4 linked regions of the Saccharomyces cerevisiae S288C genome follow. Changing the gene in region 1 together with any one later gene gives a genetic interaction. Each region holds a gene or a part of one and is shown in the gene's direction. Other genes may lie near its edges.

Region 1 (4,541 bases):
TGCCAACTAAATCACAGGCTTTTTTTTCCCATGACAGATAACCCACTAACTCGCTTGAATTTCGATGGTTTCTGCCCTTGTTCAACTTGCAAAAATACAATTCACGAGGTCATTCTAAAAAAAATCTTTCCTGAAACCCGGTCAAAACTTTTAAAGAACCCAAATAAGTTCCAAGCCCATAATTTCTTTTACCAAATGTTTTTCGAGAACAAGATCATGCCCTATACAAACATTATTGACAACGAATCACCTGCGATGGGATGGGATTCTGTACCTATTGAAACGTTTGTACGAAAGTTCAATGAAAATCTGCAAAGCACCATAGAAAATACTGAGAATATTACAGTGAATAAAATTACTAGAGAAGATGCCATTAGTTTGTACCACTTATACCTTCATTATCTAAAAGACGTATTTAAAGTTTTTGAGCAAAGTTTGCCGAACTTAGAATATCTAACCATCAACGGTATACCTACAAAAATAATACAAGTGGACGAGTTACAACGATGCGCGGTTCCCCTCTTCTATAATAATGGCTATAAAAGCAACTCTGTTTATGAATTGGTGGACGCAGAAGCTCTATTTAGTTGATACTGTGAGACATGGCGGTTATAACACGTACATAATGATATATACTCTAAATACTGCAAATTGTCAACAAGAGGAAATCAAAACAAATGGATTGTATAGTCTAGTTAGAGCTTTCTCAGTGTTCTCACTGGATTGCAGTGATGTGACATAGTTCAATAAAACAAATTATGAGCAATAAAAGCAACCGCAGGAGTTTACGTGACATAGGGAATACGATTGGTCGAAATAATATACCAAGTGACAAGGACAATGTCTTTGTGAGATTGAGTATGTCCCCTTTGAGGACGACAAGCCAAAAAGAGTTTTTGAAACCACCTATGAGGATATCACCTAACAAGACAGATGGAATGAAGCATAGTATACAAGTAACACCAAGAAGGATTATGTCGCCGGAATGTCTGAAGGGCTATGTCTCTAAGGAAACTCAAAGCCTGGATAGGCCTCAGTTCAAAAATTCGAATAAAAATGTGAAGATCCAAAACTCAGATCATATAACTAATATAATATTCCCTACATCACCAACCAAACTGACATTCAGTAATGAAAATAAAATCGGGGGTGATGGTTCGTTAACGAGAATACGGGCCCGGTTTAAGAATGGACTCATGTCACCTGAAAGGATACAGCAGCAACAGCAGCAACATATTCTCCCATCGGATGCCAAAAGCAACACTGACCTCTGTTCTAATACTGAGCTCAAGGACGCCCCATTTGAGAATGACCTTCCTCGAGCTAAATTGAAAGGGAAGAATTTATTAGTTGAACTCAAGAAAGAAGAGGAAGACGTGGGAAATGGCATAGAATCCCTTACTAAATCGAACACTAAACTGAATTCCATGCTGGCGAACGAAGGTAAGATACACAAAGCTAGTTTCCAGAAAAGTGTAAAATTTAAACTACCTGATAATATAGTGACTGAAGAAACCGTGGAACTTAAAGAAATAAAGGACTTGCTACTACAAATGTTGAGAAGACAGCGAGAGATTGAATCAAGATTATCCAATATCGAACTTCAACTCACGGAAATACCGAAACATAAGTAATCATATCCCTTCTCACATTTTTTACACAGGAAGTAAGCAAGTTATGTTATATTTCCGACACTATAATTAATTCTTAGCAGTTAAAGGTGCTTTGTCTATATTACATTTACATACAGCTTGAGTGATCCTGACCGGATATAGGGTCCTATTTTCTTACGTGAACGGCTTTTCTTCTTGTTCCCGATGGCCTTCATGTGAAAAAGCACTCCTCGGGAGGCGGAAAAATATCAAAAGTACGGGGCGAAGTTTATAATGAAGATTTATCGATATAAATTTTGGTTATTTCAGGAGAACAAGAAAGCTCTTTACACTAAAATTATCAGAGAAGAAGCTGATATATTAGCCCTAAGGAGTACACCAAAACACAATGAATATTGTCAAATTACAAGTATGTATGCCTTTCTCGAATTCCCACACTGCTGAGCACAGTGAAAAAGTTTTTTCTACCTTTTAGGTTGTAATAAACGTTTCATATACTAACAAACTCTTCTGCGATTAGAGAAAATTTCCAATTTTGACTCAAGAGGATCTTTTTTCCACAATTGAAAAGTTCAGAGCCATTGACTTAGATGATAAAGGATGGGTTGAAAAACAGCAAGCTCTAGAAGCGGTGTCCAAAGATGGTGATGCTACTTATGACGAAGCAAGAGAAACCCTGAAGCATGTGGGTGTGGATGCGTCAGGCCGTGTTGAACTGGACGATTACGTCGGGTTGGTTGCAAAATTAAGAGAATCTAAAACAGGAGCTGCTCCACAGACCACTTTCAACGTAGCACCTAACTCAACCCCTATTGTTTCCACTGCTGCCACAGGACTACAGCACAAGGGTAAGGGTACTCAAGCCAAGATTATTGTTGCTGGCTCCCAAACAGGTACTACACATACCATCAATGAAGAAGAAAGACGTGAATTTACTAAACATATCAATAGCGTCTTGGCGGGAGACCAAGATATAGGTGATTTGCTTCCATTTCCTACTGATACTTTCCAATTATTTGATGAATGTAGGGATGGGTTGGTGCTATCTAAGTTGATCAACGACTCTGTTCCTGATACTATCGATACAAGAGTTTTGAATTGGCCTAAGAAGGGTAAGGAATTGAATAATTTTCAGGCTAGTGAAAATGCTAATATTGTTATTAATTCTGCAAAAGCCATTGGTTGTGTCGTTGTTAATGTTCATTCCGAGGACATTATTGAAGGTAGAGAGCATTTGATCCTGGGTTTGATTTGGCAAATTATTAGGAGAGGTTTGTTAAGTAAAATTGATATTAAGCTGCATCCTGAGTTATACCGTCTATTGGAGGATGATGAAACGTTGGAGCAATTTTTGAGGTTGCCTCCGGAGCAAATTCTACTACGTTGGTTTAACTACCATTTGAAGCAAGCAAACTGGAACAGAAGGGTTACCAATTTTTCAAAAGACGTGTCTGATGGTGAAAACTATACTATCTTGTTGAACCAGTTGGACCCCGCCTTGTGTTCTAAGGCACCATTACAAACCACAGATTTAATGGAGAGAGCTGAGCAAGTTTTACAAAATGCTGAAAAGCTAGATTGTAGAAAGTATTTAACCCCAAGTTCATTAGTTGCGGGGAACCCTAAATTAAACCTGGCTTTCGTGGCACATCTATTCAATACACATCCTGGATTAGAGCCTATTCAGGAAGAGGAAAAGCCTGAAATTGAAGAATTTGACGCCGAAGGTGAGAGAGAGGCAAGAGTCTTTACCTTATGGTTGAACTCTCTTGACGTTGATCCACCTGTCATTTCGCTGTTTGATGATTTGAAGGATGGTTTGATATTATTGCAAGCTTACGAAAAGGTGATGCCCGGTGCTGTTGATTTTAAACATGTCAACAAAAGACCGGCCTCGGGTGCAGAGATATCCAGATTCAAAGCCTTAGAAAACACCAACTATGCAGTCGACTTGGGCAGAGCCAAAGGATTTTCTTTGGTTGGTATCGAAGGATCTGATATTGTAGATGGTAACAAATTACTGACCTTAGGGTTAGTGTGGCAATTGATGCGTAGAAATATTTCGATAACCATGAAGACATTATCCTCAAGTGGTAGAGACATGAGTGATTCTCAAATATTAAAGTGGGCCCAAGACCAGGTAACTAAAGGTGGTAAAAACTCTACCATTAGATCATTTAAGGACCAAGCTTTATCAAACGCCCACTTCTTATTGGATGTTCTGAATGGTATCGCGCCGGGCTATGTTGATTATGATCTAGTCACCCCTGGTAACACCGAGGAAGAAAGGTACGCAAACGCAAGATTGGCTATTTCTATTGCTAGAAAGTTGGGTGCTTTGATTTGGTTGGTGCCAGAAGATATCAACGAAGTTCGTGCAAGATTAATTATTACTTTTATCGCTTCGTTAATGACTTTGAACAAATGAGCCAACAAACAACTTTCGTAACCTGTTTTCTACTCAGCTTTCTTGTTCCAATGCTCCGTTATACGATTGGTTAAGTGTACAACAATATATAGCCTCAAGTATTTCTGAAGTTTTTAATATGTAATAATAGATTTCAACTTCCACCTACTTTTATTCGTGATTACTGAGCCATTGTAAAAATGCCTCCAACGCTCAATGATTCCGTTGTCGTCTTCTATCATGCCTCTACTGGATTAAAAAATCGTAAATAAACTACTTATTAAGCCATATATCCTGTGAACTTTTTTTCATATACATCCAAGGTTCTTTGAAATATGCAGAAAATGTACGTGATAGTTAAGCTTTTAGGCATCGAACATTTCCGGACAATTGCACCCACATCCAGATGGGCACTCATCACCAATCTCCCACCATATCCTCGCGCACGAAGAGTGTAAAACATGTTGACAATTTCCACATATGAAGCTACTTCTTGTCACTCTTAAATCACAGTAATTACA
Region 2 (5,913 bases), on another chromosome or scaffold:
ACCCAGGTTCGTTCTCACATTGCCAGTAAGTTGAGGAGCTTTGTTTGGAGTCGGTCAGTAATTCTATCGGCTGTACCCCACTGCCCTGTCTCCAGGTTGGTGAAGTTAAATGGTTCAATAGTTTAGTACCTTGAACATAAGTAGCAAAATCTAAATCGTCCTCCCATTGGTGTTGATTGGAATTGTAAATTTGGTGAATTAATCTTTTCATTAATATGCTCGAATACTGCTGTGGCACGTTAGAATAATCCTGTTGAACCTGCTGCTGCTGCTGCTGCTGCTGTGTCTCTAACCTATTTGTGATCTCTTCCCAAATCTCCTGTTTGTTAGATTGCAACCTTCTGTTCATTTCTTGGATGAAATAATCCTTATCGATATATTGCAACTCATTCGAAAGAATTTCCTTTACATAGCGATTCAAATCATACTCCCAACGACTTTCAGCGCTTCCAGCAGTACCAATGCCTGGAGACTCAATAACGTCTGAAATCAAAGCACTCAAATAATTGTGCAATTCAGGGATTATTAAAAGCGACGAAGAATTATTAATTACAACGGGTATTTCTTGAGGGAGGTGTGTATCCAACTGTTTTACCAGTTGATCTTGCCATTGAGTAACATTCTCGACCGTAAATTTGTGATTTCGCCTCTGTAACTCACTCATGGAAGTTGAAATTGTCTCAACCTGTTTTGTCAGCGAGTTAATGTCATTTTCAAAATTAACCAAATTTGAGGGTAAAAGTCTTTTAATATTCTTTTCAAATTGAGAGACAATGATTTTTACTGTTTTATCCAATTCTGAACTGTGCTTTTCGTCCCGCTTACTCAACTCACTATATAAATGATTCACCTGTTTTTGTAGGTTGCTGAATGATTTGCCTGGAGAGGATGTAGCGCCGGATGAATGGCTTTCTAAATCATTATTTTTCACGGTTGTCATCAAAAAAGATCCAAAAAAATAAAAAACGAAGAAAAGGCCTCCATAGAAAATGTACGTCCGCCACTTCAACTTCTTAGCTTCACCTGAACTTTCCAAGTTCTCTTCAAAGTCAGAATTACTTTCCAAATCGTAGCTGTCGGAATCGCTGTCTTCTATAAAACTCTTGTCTGCCTCATCTGTATAGTCCTCGTCGCTATATCCGTCGGTCTCTTGTCCATTATCCTCAATGTACGGATCATCATCGTCGTCATCATTATGTTGGTCTAACGGAAAATCAAGATTTTTTTTGAACATTTCGTACGCGGAATCATTCTCTTTATCCATATCATAGTTGTCAGTTTCACCGCCATCGGTGTATATCCCTTTTTTGATGGCTCGTAGGCTAATCTCCTGTTCCCTATTCATTTTGTCCTTGAGGACATCTGCATACGCGGACTTTACAGCCTTATTGTAAGGCATTTGTTCATTAGCCGCTCCTGCCTCTTCCCGCCTATGCTCATTTGAGTTATTCATTTCCAGCACTTCCAGGATAAAAGTTACTACCAACTGAAAACAAGAGAAACCGCCGTGAAACTATGGAGCACTACAGTTAAAACACCACTAACTCCACTCTGTTGACTTTTATCTGTAACTCCTCATGACAACCTTGTTGATAATTATCTCAAGATGACGATATTTACATTGTCATTATATTCCATTTTCGCGTCTCATATGTTACCCGTATCAAAGAGTATAACCCTATCAATAAGTGATGTGTATCATTTATAAACCTCATATTTTAAGAATAAACCTATATAATATAGGAATATACCCTGAAAATAGTTAGAGGTCTACAATGCCCCTATTTTACCTCCAGAATTATAATCTCCTTAAGACTTCAACTAGAAGTGGTATTTACTAGCACACTGTGAAACAGTAGCGTCAAGTCGGTAGTAAACATCAATCGCGTCCCAACTGCAAGAGCTACTAGAAGTAAACACAGTCTTACCCAAACTAAGGATGAGTGAACCCGAAGTGCCCTTCAAGGTGGTGGCTCAGTTCCCATACAAGTCCGATTACGAGGACGATTTAAATTTTGAAAAAGATCAAGAGATTATTGTTACGTCTGTTGAAGACGCCGAATGGTACTTTGGTGAATACCAGGATTCAAATGGCGACGTTATTGAGGGTATCTTCCCGAAAAGTTTTGTTGCTGTTCAGGGATCTGAAGTTGGAAAGGAAGCCGAATCATCTCCGAATACCGGTTCCACTGAGCAACGTACAATCCAGCCGGAAGTAGAACAAAAGGACCTACCAGAGCCCATTTCCCCTGAAACGAAGAAAGAAACTCTGTCCGGGCCAGTGCCAGTTCCAGCCGCTACAGTGCCAGTTCCAGCCGCTACAGTGCCAGTTCCAGCCGCTACAGCAGTATCAGCACAGGTCCAGCATGATAGTAGTAGTGGTAATGGCGAAAGAAAAGTTCCCATGGATTCTCCAAAATTGAAGGCTCGCTTATCTATGTTTAATCAAGATATAACGGAGCAAGTTCCTTTACCAAAATCAACTCACTTGGATTTAGAAAACATACCTGTGAAAAAAACAATTGTGGCAGATGCTCCTAAATACTATGTCCCCCCTGGAATTCCAACAAATGATACGTCCAATCTTGAAAGGAAAAAGTCCCTAAAGGAAAACGAAAAAAAGATTGTTCCCGAACCAATTAATCGTGCACAGGTGGAAAGTGGAAGAATAGAAACTGAGAATGACCAATTAAAGAAGGATTTGCCCCAGATGAGCCTTAAAGAAAGAATTGCTCTTTTACAGGAGCAACAAAGATTACAGGCTGCAAGAGAAGAAGAACTCTTGAGAAAAAAGGCTAAGCTCGAACAAGAACATGAACGTAGTGCGGTTAACAAGAATGAGCCCTATACGGAAACTGAAGAAGCAGAAGAAAATGAAAAAACTGAACCGAAACCTGAATTTACGCCTGAAACTGAGCACAACGAGGAACCGCAAATGGAATTATTGGCACATAAAGAGATTACTAAAACCTCACGCGAAGCAGATGAAGGCACGAATGACATAGAGAAAGAACAATTTTTAGATGAGTACACAAAGGAAAATCAGAAAGTTGAGGAGTCACAAGCAGACGAGGCAAGAGGAGAAAATGTTGCTGAGGAAAGCGAAATAGGTTACGGCCATGAAGACAGAGAGGGAGATAATGATGAGGAAAAAGAAGAGGAAGATAGTGAAGAGAATCGTAGGGCCGCATTGAGAGAAAGAATGGCTAAACTATCTGGCGCTAGTAGATTCGGTGCTCCTGTTGGTTTTAACCCCTTCGGTATGGCTTCTGGAGTTGGAAATAAACCATCAGAAGAGCCGAAAAAGAAACAGCATAAGGAGAAGGAGGAGGAGGAACCTGAACAGCTCCAAGAACTACCTCGTGCCATACCTGTTATGCCATTTGTTGACCCAAGTTCTAACCCATTTTTTAGGAAATCAAATCTAAGTGAGAAGAATCAACCCACTGAAACAAAGACGCTAGATCCTCATGCAACCACAGAGCATGAACAGAAGCAAGAACATGGTACACACGCCTATCACAATTTAGCTGCTGTTGATAATGCACATCCCGAATACTCTGACCATGATTCTGATGAAGATACTGACGACCACGAGTTTGAGGATGCAAACGATGGGTTGAGAAAGCATTCGATGGTGGAGCAAGCTTTTCAGATAGGTAATAATGAGTCAGAGAATGTTAATTCCGGAGAAAAAATTTACCCTCAAGAACCACCAATCTCCCACCGTACTGCAGAAGTATCACATGATATTGAAAATTCATCACAAAACACAACTGGAAATGTTTTGCCTGTCTCTTCCCCACAAACAAGAGTTGCTCGCAACGGGTCGATAAATTCTTTGACTAAATCCATTTCAGGGGAAAATCGGCGGAAATCCATAAACGAGTATCATGATACAGTTTCCACTAATTCATCTGCATTAACAGAAACCGCTCAAGATATTTCGATGGCAGCTCCAGCAGCTCCAGTTCTAAGTAAGGTGTCACATCCTGAGGACAAGGTGCCACCTCACCCAGTGCCTTCTGCACCCTCTGCACCTCCAGTACCCTCTGCACCTTCAGTACCCTCTGCACCTCCAGTACCTCCAGCACCTCCAGCACTCTCTGCACCTTCAGTACCCCCAGTACCCCCAGTACCTCCAGTATCTTCAGCACCTCCAGCACTCTCAGCACCTTCAATACCTCCAGTACCTCCAACACCTCCAGCACCTCCAGCACCTCCAGCGCCTCTTGCGCTGCCTAAACACAATGAAGTAGAAGAACATGTCAAGTCATCTGCTCCCCTTCCACCTGTATCCGAGGAATATCATCCTATGCCAAATACTGCTCCGCCACTTCCACGTGCACCACCAGTACCACCGGCTACTTTTGAATTTGACTCTGAACCAACAGCCACTCATTCACATACAGCTCCTTCTCCTCCACCACATCAAAATGTCACGGCCTCTACACCTTCAATGATGAGTACGCAACAACGTGTGCCAACCTCAGTACTATCTGGGGCAGAAAAAGAATCACGAACCCTACCGCCCCATGTGCCTTCATTGACGAATCGTCCTGTGGATTCATTCCATGAGTCAGATACTACACCGAAGGTGGCCTCTATAAGAAGGTCAACGACGCATGATGTAGGCGAGATTTCCAACAACGTCAAGATAGAGTTTAATGCACAAGAAAGATGGTGGATTAATAAAAGCGCACCTCCTGCTATAAGCAATCTGAAGTTGAACTTTTTGATGGAGATCGATGATCATTTCATTTCCAAAAGATTACATCAAAAATGGGTGGTAAGGGATTTTTACTTCTTGTTTGAAAACTATTCGCAACTAAGATTCTCCTTGACCTTTAATAGTACAAGCCCAGAGAAAACGGTAACGACTCTTCAAGAACGCTTTCCATCGCCAGTCGAAACACAATCAGCACGTATTCTTGATGAATACGCTCAAAGGTTTAATGCGAAAGTTGTAGAGAAATCTCATTCATTGATAAATTCACATATTGGGGCTAAGAATTTCGTGTCACAAATTGTATCCGAATTCAAAGACGAAGTTATACAACCCATAGGAGCAAGAACGTTTGGCGCAACTATATTGAGTTATAAACCTGAAGAAGGAATCGAACAGTTGATGAAGAGCTTACAGAAGATTAAACCAGGTGACATTCTTGTAATTAGAAAGGCCAAATTTGAAGCTCATAAAAAGATCGGAAAAAACGAAATTATCAACGTTGGAATGGACTCCGCCGCTCCGTATTCGAGTGTTGTTACTGATTATGATTTTACAAAGAATAAGTTTAGAGTTATCGAAAATCACGAGGGAAAGATTATTCAAAACAGCTACAAGCTAAGCCATATGAAAAGTGGGAAGTTAAAGGTTTTCAGAATTGTTGCGAGAGGATACGTAGGTTGGTAATTTACCCAATGCTTCCAAGGGGAAATTGTGAATGCTTTCGATTTCATCATTTTCCTTTCGCATTTTCTTATCGTTATAGTTTAAGTGTATATTTTCATAACTCTTCTACAGAAGAAACTATACAAAGATTAAACAACCGTTTTTGTATCAGGTCTTATTTGAGCGGCTCAAAACGAAAGGTAGGATTCACTTATCTTACCGCCGTCAATAGTATCCCAAGTTGTACCTTTTCGTATATACCTACAATTCTGGCTTCAGACGCAGTAATTTTTGAGCAATCGTAACAAACGGTTTGCCCCTAGAGTTTGAATTTTTCTTCATCACTCCATGATAGTGCTCTCATATATTATCTTACGGAAATTAATCCAATATAGGTGCCCAAAGGTTGAAATTAATACGAACTTTGACCTGGCCTTAATTATCGATTCTAATACTATCTGAGTTTAAAGAACTTGCGGGGAAGAAATACGGAAAACATAGAAAGGCGATGGCAGATGAAG
Region 3 (3,875 bases), on another chromosome or scaffold:
ACGCACAAGTCAAGGAGCTGAAGACTCAGACTTCCCAACAGGCAGAAAATTCAGAAGTCATAAAGGACCTTTACGAGTACCTCTGTAACGTACGTGTACATAAAAGCTACGAGGATGATTCTGGGTTGTGGTTCGACATCTCGCAGGGCACCCACTCAGGGGGATCTTCCGATGATTATTCGATAATGGACTATAAACTCGGATTTGTCAAGGGCCAGGCCCAAGTCACAGAAGTCATATATGCGCCCGTTCTTAAACAGCGATCCACCGAGGAACTATACTCGCTACAGTCGAAACTACCGGAATACCTCTTCGAAACGTTGAGTTTCCCCCTCTCGTCGCTAAACCAATTCTATAACAAAATCGCTAAAAGCCTGAATAAGAAAAGAGAGAAAAAAGATGAAACCGAGTAAGCTGCTACATAATGTCTATATATCTACACATAAAATTCCGATTATTCCTTTGCATACCTGATTTGCCCCTCAGAATCCACAACCAGACTTTTCAAGAAGGTCTTTTTTGCCCCTTTATCCTTCATGGTTTTCAAAATTTTGTACAACGACTTGCCCTTGTGAAGCTCGATACCGTTCGAGGTCTTTTCCACTTTCTCTGCCTTCTTGATCACAGGCTTCTCCACTTTCTTTGCAGGAGTTGCCACTGGCTGGTGCTGGTGCTGCTTCTGCTGCTGCTTCTGCTGCTGCTTCTGCTTCTGCTTCTTGTTGCCCTTGTACAACGCTTTCTGGTACTTCTCGTCCTCGCTGATGCAAGACGTGTGATTCTTGTAACTCACGCCATCTTCAAACGTCTTGGAGCAATCTATGCATGTATAGTACGCGTTAGGACATCTATAATAATGCTTTTCGGTATTCTTCTTGGGCACAGTATCATTACACACCTCACAGTTGAACGTAACCATCCTGTAATAACAAATATTTCTTGACTGAGACCGTTTGCTGTTGTATACAGAATACTCTTAGAGCTCATCGCAAGTTAAAAATTTTCAATTTTTTTTCACTTTTTCCCGTCAAGGCAAAAAGCAACCAAAAGAGAATGAACCTTTATTTTTGATTTATTTATTATGAGATGCTGCTAGTCCACTCATCTGCATCAATGTAGTAGTCACAAAGCTAATATTTAGACGTTACTTTGATATCTCTGTCCATGAGAGCACTTATTTTAGGAAGTTAAATGAGACAGTCAATAGTTCACAATATCCCGTCAGCAATGGAGGGAAAAGGCATTCCTTTTCCATAGGATTTTAATCGTTTTCAAGCATCATACGCCCTCGAGGAACTCTTGTTTTCGCTTTACTATGCAACCATTGATGTATTTCTGTATAAATGTGCGTCACGTGGCCTTGTGTCTCTTATTTCCACTTGTTTTTTCACAATGCGGAAAACCTCGATTAAAGTAGAAAAAAAGGATATAATAGGAGTATACCATATTGGATAGTTCAATCTATAAACAAACAATCGCATAACCGCACGTATATACACGCACACACCTATCAATCACAATGGCTTTGGAACCTATTGATTATACTACTCACTCGAGAGAGATCGACGCAGAGTACCTGAAGATTGTCAGAGGCTCCGATCCTGACACCACCTGGTTGATTATTTCACCCAATGCGAAAAAAGAATACGAACCTGAGTCTACCGGTTCCTCCTTTCACGATTTCTTGCAATTGTTTGATGAAACCAAGGTCCAGTACGGACTGGCACGTGTGTCCCCACCAGGGTCAGACGTTGAGAAGATTATTATCATTGGTTGGTGTCCTGATTCTGCGCCATTGAAGACAAGGGCCTCTTTCGCCGCCAATTTTGCTGCAGTTGCTAATAATCTGTTCAAGGGTTACCACGTTCAAGTTACCGCCAGAGACGAGGACGATCTTGACGAAAATGAACTGTTGATGAAAATCAGTAACGCGGCCGGTGCCCGTTATTCTATTCAGACTTCCTCCAAGCAACAGGGGAAGGCTTCCACTCCTCCCGTGAAGAAATCCTTCACACCTTCCAAGAGCCCTGCTCCAGTTTCTAAGAAGGAACCAGTCAAGACTCCTTCCCCAGCACCTGCTGCTAAGATTTCTTCCCGTGTTAACGACAACAATGACGACGACGATTGGAATGAGCCTGAATTAAAGGAACGCGACTTCGATCAGGCTCCCCTGAAACCAAATCAATCATCTTACAAACCAATTGGCAAAATCGACTTGCAAAAAGTGATTGCTGAAGAAAAGGCTAAGGAGGACCCACGTCTTGTTCAAAAGCCAACCGCTGCTGGTTCCAAGATTGATCCTAGTTCTGATATCGCTAATTTAAAGAACGAATCAAAATTAAAGAGGGACTCCGAGTTTAACTCCTTTTTGGGCACCACTAAACCCCCCTCCATGACGGAATCTTCATTAAAGAATGATGATGATAAAGTCATTAAGGGTTTTAGAAACGAGAAATCACCTGCTCAATTATGGGCCGAAAGAAAGGCAAAGCAAAACAGCGGCAACGCCGAAACTAAGGCTGAGGCACCAAAACCTGAAGTTCCAGAAGATGAGCCTGAAGGTGAACCTGACGTCAAAGATTTGAAATCAAAATTTGAAGGATTGGCCGCTTCAGAAAAAGAGGAGGAAGAAATGGAAAACAAATTTGCTCCTCCTCCAAAGAAATCAGAACCAACTATTATCTCACCAAAACCCTTCTCCAAGCCACAAGAACCTGTGAAAGCTGAAGAAGCCGAGCAGCCTAAGACTGATTACAAGAAGATCGGCAACCCATTACCCGGTATGCACATTGAAGCGGATAATGAGGAAGAACCAGAAGAGAATGATGATGACTGGGATGATGATGAAGACGAGGCTGCTCAACCTCCTTTGCCTTCGAGGAATGTTGCGTCAGGAGCACCAGTGCAAAAAGAAGAGCCTGAACAAGAAGAGATCGCCCCAAGCTTACCTTCTAGAAACTCGATCCCAGCTCCAAAACAAGAAGAAGCACCTGAACAAGCACCTGAAGAAGAAATTGAAGAAGAAGCTGAGGAAGCCGCTCCACAGCTGCCATCAAGAAGCTCTGCAGCTCCTCCTCCGCCTCCAAGACGAGCAACTCCAGAGAAAAAGCCAAAGGAAAATCCTTGGGCCACAGCAGAATATGATTACGATGCTGCAGAAGATAACGAACTGACCTTTGTGGAAAATGACAAGATTATCAATATTGAATTTGTCGACGATGACTGGTGGCTAGGGGAACTAGAGAAAGACGGCTCAAAAGGTCTCTTCCCCAGCAATTATGTGTCTTTGGGCAACTAGAATCACACGTCAGCGTCATGCTATTATATTATTCTTACGTAAAAAAATACTTACAGAGACGTTAAAGCTTTTGTATAGATACTTTCACGAGCCTTCCCTTTCAGTAAAATGAACAAATTATTTTGCCTTGTCCTTCTTTGTTTCAAGCGTTTATATGACTCCTCTACAGTATTATTTTTCAACAGACGGTGTGCCCGTACGGCGTTGTCAAAACCTCGAACATAAAACAACACTGAAACAAACTTATTGCACTCCTGCATCGCATACAGATCTGATACTTACTACAACCATAATGCTGTTTTAGAATCGCATCAGGTGTTTACCAGAAGTGTATGGTACATGGTGCTTTCCTTATGCTCACTATTTCGGATTTACTTCTAGTCTATGTATAGATTTGTTAGAGACCAGTTTTAAGCTACAATGGAACGTTAAGATTAAGAAATGCATGAAGAGTCTCCCAGTAGATATATAAAGCTGAATTAAATTCAGTACAATGGAAGTTTCCACGTCTTTCTGTATTTTCATACCTTTAATTATAGGAAAAGCACACTACAAAAATACGCTATCATCTACCGAATAT
Region 4 (3,790 bases), 320 kb from region 1:
AAGAAGTGTTAAGTATCGGCTGACGAAGTGCAATAAAAAGTACTTAGTTATACGGTAGATCAAGAACCTTCGGTGAGCCAAGCGAGGGTGTATACATTCATTTAATTTTGCTTTAATAGGAGTAGGAGGGCATCATCTCAATGAATTTACTTGAAACAAGGAGGTCCTTGTTGGAGGAGATGGAGATTATTGAAAATGCCATAGCAGAAAGAATTCAGCGGAATCCAGAGTTATATTACCACTATATACAAGAATCGAGCAAGGTGTTTCCTGATACTAAACTGCCTAGATCATCGTTGATTGCAGAGAATAAAATATACAAGTTTAAAAAGGTTAAGAGGAAGAGAAAACAGATAATTTTGCAGCAACATGAGATAAATATTTTTCTTCGAGACTACCAAGAGAAACAACAAACTTTTAATAAAATCAATCGTCCAGAAGAGACACAGGAGGATGACAAGGATTTGCCTAATTTCGAAAGAAAACTACAACAGCTAGAGAAGGAACTGAAAAATGAAGATGAGAACTTTGAATTGGATATCAACTCTAAAAAAGACAAATACGCTTTATTCTCATCTTCTTCTGATCCATCGAGGCGCACAAATATATTGTCTGACAGAGCTCGAGACCTAGACTTAAATGAAATATTTACTAGAGATGAGCAATATGGTGAATATATGGAGCTGGAACAATTTCATTCTTTATGGTTGAATGTAATTAAACGGGGCGATTGTTCACTGCTTCAATTTCTCGACATCCTAGAATTATTTTTGGACGACGAGAAATATTTGCTAACCCCACCGATGGATCGCAAGAATGATAGATACATGGCCTTTTTGCTAAAGTTGAGCAAATATGTAGAAACTTTTTTCTTCAAAAGTTATGCTTTGCTTGACGCTGCGGCAGTTGAAAATCTAATCAAATCTGACTTCGAACATTCATACTGTAGGGGATCTCTTCGGTCCGAGGCAAAAGGTATCTATTGCCCTTTTTGTTCGAGGTGGTTCAAGACATCTTCCGTTTTCGAAAGCCATTTAGTAGGGAAAATTCATAAGAAAAATGAATCTAAAAGAAGAAATTTTGTGTACTCTGAATATAAACTGCATCGGTATTTGAAATATTTAAATGATGAATTTTCTCGAACGAGAAGTTTTGTTGAAAGAAAACTGGCATTTACTGCAAATGAAAGAATGGCAGAAATGGATATCTTAACACAGAAGTATGAAGCACCTGCATATGATTCGACGGAAAAAGAGGGGGCCGAACAAGTGGATGGTGAGCAGAGAGATGGTCAACTGCAAGAAGAGCACCTCTCTGGTAAATCGTTTGACATGCCATTGGGTCCGGATGGATTGCCTATGCCATACTGGCTATACAAACTGCATGGGCTTGACAGAGAGTATCGCTGCGAAATTTGTTCGAATAAAGTTTATAATGGGCGACGCACTTTTGAAAGACATTTCAACGAAGAAAGACATATTTATCACTTGCGATGCCTTGGTATCGAACCTTCTTCAGTATTCAAGGGCATAACCAAAATTAAGGAGGCACAAGAGCTCTGGAAAAATATGCAGGGGCAGTCACAGTTGACATCTATTGCAGCAGTTCCCCCAAAGCCTAATCCTTCACAACTAAAAGTTCCTACAGAATTAGAACTAGAAGAAGAAGACGAAGAAGGAAATGTAATGAGTAAGAAGGTCTACGATGAACTTAAGAAGCAAGGTTTGGTGTGAAATCTCTCTGTGATATGTATATTTGTTTGATAGATAGCAGTTGTATGTATTTATACTATTCTTAGTAATGACCTTATTACCCGTCTTGTAGAATTGAAAGGCGAAAAACAATTTGAGGACCCATATAATGGAAGAAAACGGACGTGAAAGTTAAATATACGTACCAGAAGACAAATCACAGTAATAAACTAACAAAACTATATAATAATAATGGACCCACATAATCCAATTGGTATGTTGTTGATATTTTTAGTGTTTGTGGAGGCAATTGAGCTCGGTGCCCCTTTTGGCTTTGCCTCTTTTGCATTTTAGTTCTTTTACCCCTATATTATTAATACTAACCATCTCGATATAGTCCTTGATCAGGGTACTGGTTTCGTCAAAATTGGTCGTGCTGGCGAGAATTTCCCAGATTACACGTTTCCTTCTATTGTTGGTAGACCCATCTTGAGGGCGGAAGAACGTGCCAGCGTTGCTACACCATTAAAGGACATTATGATTGGTGATGAGGCAAGTGAAGTTCGCTCTTATCTGCAAATATCTTATCCTATGGAAAACGGTATTATTAAGAATTGGACAGATATGGAACTTCTTTGGGATTACGCCTTTTTCGAGCAAATGAAACTACCATCCACCTCCAACGGTAAGATTTTACTAACGGAACCTCCAATGAATCCGCTGAAAAATAGGGAAAAAATGTGTGAGGTAATGTTCGAAAAATACGATTTTGGCGGAGTTTATGTTGCCATCCAAGCTGTTCTAGCATTGTACGCACAAGGTTTGTCTTCAGGAGTCGTCGTCGATTCCGGTGACGGTGTTACTCATATAGTCCCAGTTTACGAATCTGTCGTTTTGAGCCACTTAACAAGAAGATTAGATGTTGCGGGTAGAGACGTTACTAGGCATTTGATTGATCTGCTTTCTCGTCGTGGTTATGCATTTAACAGAACTGCAGATTTCGAAACTGTGCGTCAGATAAAGGAAAAATTATGTTATGTTTCATATGATTTAGACCTAGATACAAAATTGGCTAGAGAAACAACCGCCCTTGTGGAATCGTATGAGTTACCAGATGGCAGGACAATCAAAGTGGGACAAGAGAGATTTGAAGCACCAGAATGTTTGTTCCAACCTGGTTTGGTTGACGTTGAACAACCTGGCGTGGGCGAGCTGTTATTTAATACTGTGCAATCGGCTGATGTTGATATCAGAAGTTCCCTGTATAAGGCCATTGTTCTTTCAGGTGGTTCAAGTATGTACCCAGGGCTGCCTTCGAGATTAGAGAAAGAATTGAAACAATTATGGTTTAGTAGAGTTTTACACAATGACCCTTCAAGACTTGATAAATTCAAAGTTAGAATTGAAGATCCTCCAAGGAGAAAGCATATGGTTTTCATTGGTGGTGCCGTTTTAGCTAGTATCATGGCTGATAAAGACCACATGTGGTTGTCTAAGCAAGAATGGCAAGAAAGCGGGCCATCTGCAATGACTAAATTTGGTCCAAGATAGATTTGAACTTTATTGATCCAAAAGAATTAATAAAAAAGTTTAAATCTACGAATGAAAAATGGAAATGGAATAATATAAACTTATATATAAATGTAATAAGTTAATAAGGCACAATTGTTGAACAAGCAATCAAAATATAATATTTCACTGAGCGCCGTTAGAGGATAGTTATCCTTTTCTTGGTATTTCAAGTATTCAGTGTCTGTGTCGAAAAATTGATTGATGATTTATTTAAATGAATATATATAAATATGTAAAAAAGAGTTGATCAAAGTAAATAAATCAGTACATGCATGGCAAACTCTAAATGTATTTATGTTCATAACTGGCACATGCTTTTCTTCCTTATGCGGCTCTTCTAAATTTTGTAATCTGCAAATTTCCTTAAAACAGTGTCTACCACATCATTGAGATCATCTTGTGATATATGAGGCTTCTCAGAGCCATATCTAACGGCATTCCTAATAAGGTCTTCCATAATCGATCCGGATATCATAAAAGGTTGAAGGAAAGTGCTACTCAGGACTTTATCCACAGTCCATCTTTTG

What was found.
Region 2: mutations in SAC6 (region 1) and BBC1 are lethal when combined (synthetic lethality), as found in Saccharomyces cerevisiae (4 studies listed by BioGRID, with this or other methods).
Region 3: mutations in SAC6 (region 1) and ABP1 are lethal when combined (synthetic lethality), as found in Saccharomyces cerevisiae (5 studies listed by BioGRID, with this or other methods).
Region 4: mutations in SAC6 (region 1) and ARP2 are lethal when combined (synthetic lethality), as found in Saccharomyces cerevisiae (3 studies listed by BioGRID, with this or other methods).

The regions. Positions count from the first base shown.
Region 1 is NC_001136.10:712,840-717,380, reverse strand, and holds SAC6 (fimbrin), read left to right. Parts: upstream 1-2,001; coding exon 2,002-2,022; intron 2,023-2,133; coding exon 2,134-4,041; downstream 4,042-4,541. Other genes in the region: YDR131C (uncharacterized protein), read left to right, coding at 1-591; FIN1 (Fin1p), read left to right, coding at 759-1,634; MTC5 (Mtc5p), read right to left, coding at 4,386-4,541. UniProt on the Saccharomyces cerevisiae protein: Binds to actin, and functionally associates with actin structures involved in the development and maintenance of cell polarity.
Region 2 is NC_001142.9:398,437-404,349, reverse strand, and holds BBC1 (Bbc1p), read left to right. Parts: upstream 1-1,939; coding exon 1,940-5,413; downstream 5,414-5,913. Other genes in the region: MPS3 (Mps3p), read right to left, coding at 1-1,453. UniProt on the Saccharomyces cerevisiae protein: Involved in the regulation of actin cytoskeleton.
Region 3 is NC_001135.5:263,552-267,426, forward strand, and holds ABP1 (Abp1p), read left to right. Parts: upstream 1-1,516; coding exon 1,517-3,295; downstream 3,296-3,875. Other genes in the region: CSM1 (Csm1p), read left to right, coding at 1-413; YCR087C-A (uncharacterized protein), read right to left, coding at 455-916. UniProt on the Saccharomyces cerevisiae protein: Regulates ARP2/3 complex-mediated actin assembly. Recruits ARP2/3 complex to sides of preexisting actin filaments, which may promote nucleation or stabilization of filament branches. Binds to actin filaments, but not actin monomers.
Region 4 is NC_001136.10:397,397-401,186, forward strand, and holds ARP2 (actin-related protein 2), read left to right. Parts: upstream 1-1,943; coding exon 1,944-1,965; intron 1,966-2,088; coding exon 2,089-3,242; downstream 3,243-3,790. Other genes in the region: SF3a splicing factor complex subunit PRP9, read left to right, coding at 141-1,733; serine/threonine/tyrosine protein kinase MPS1, read right to left, coding at 3,601-3,790. UniProt on the Saccharomyces cerevisiae protein: Functions as ATP-binding component of the Arp2/3 complex which is involved in regulation of actin polymerization and together with an activating nucleation-promoting factor (NPF) mediates the formation of branched actin networks.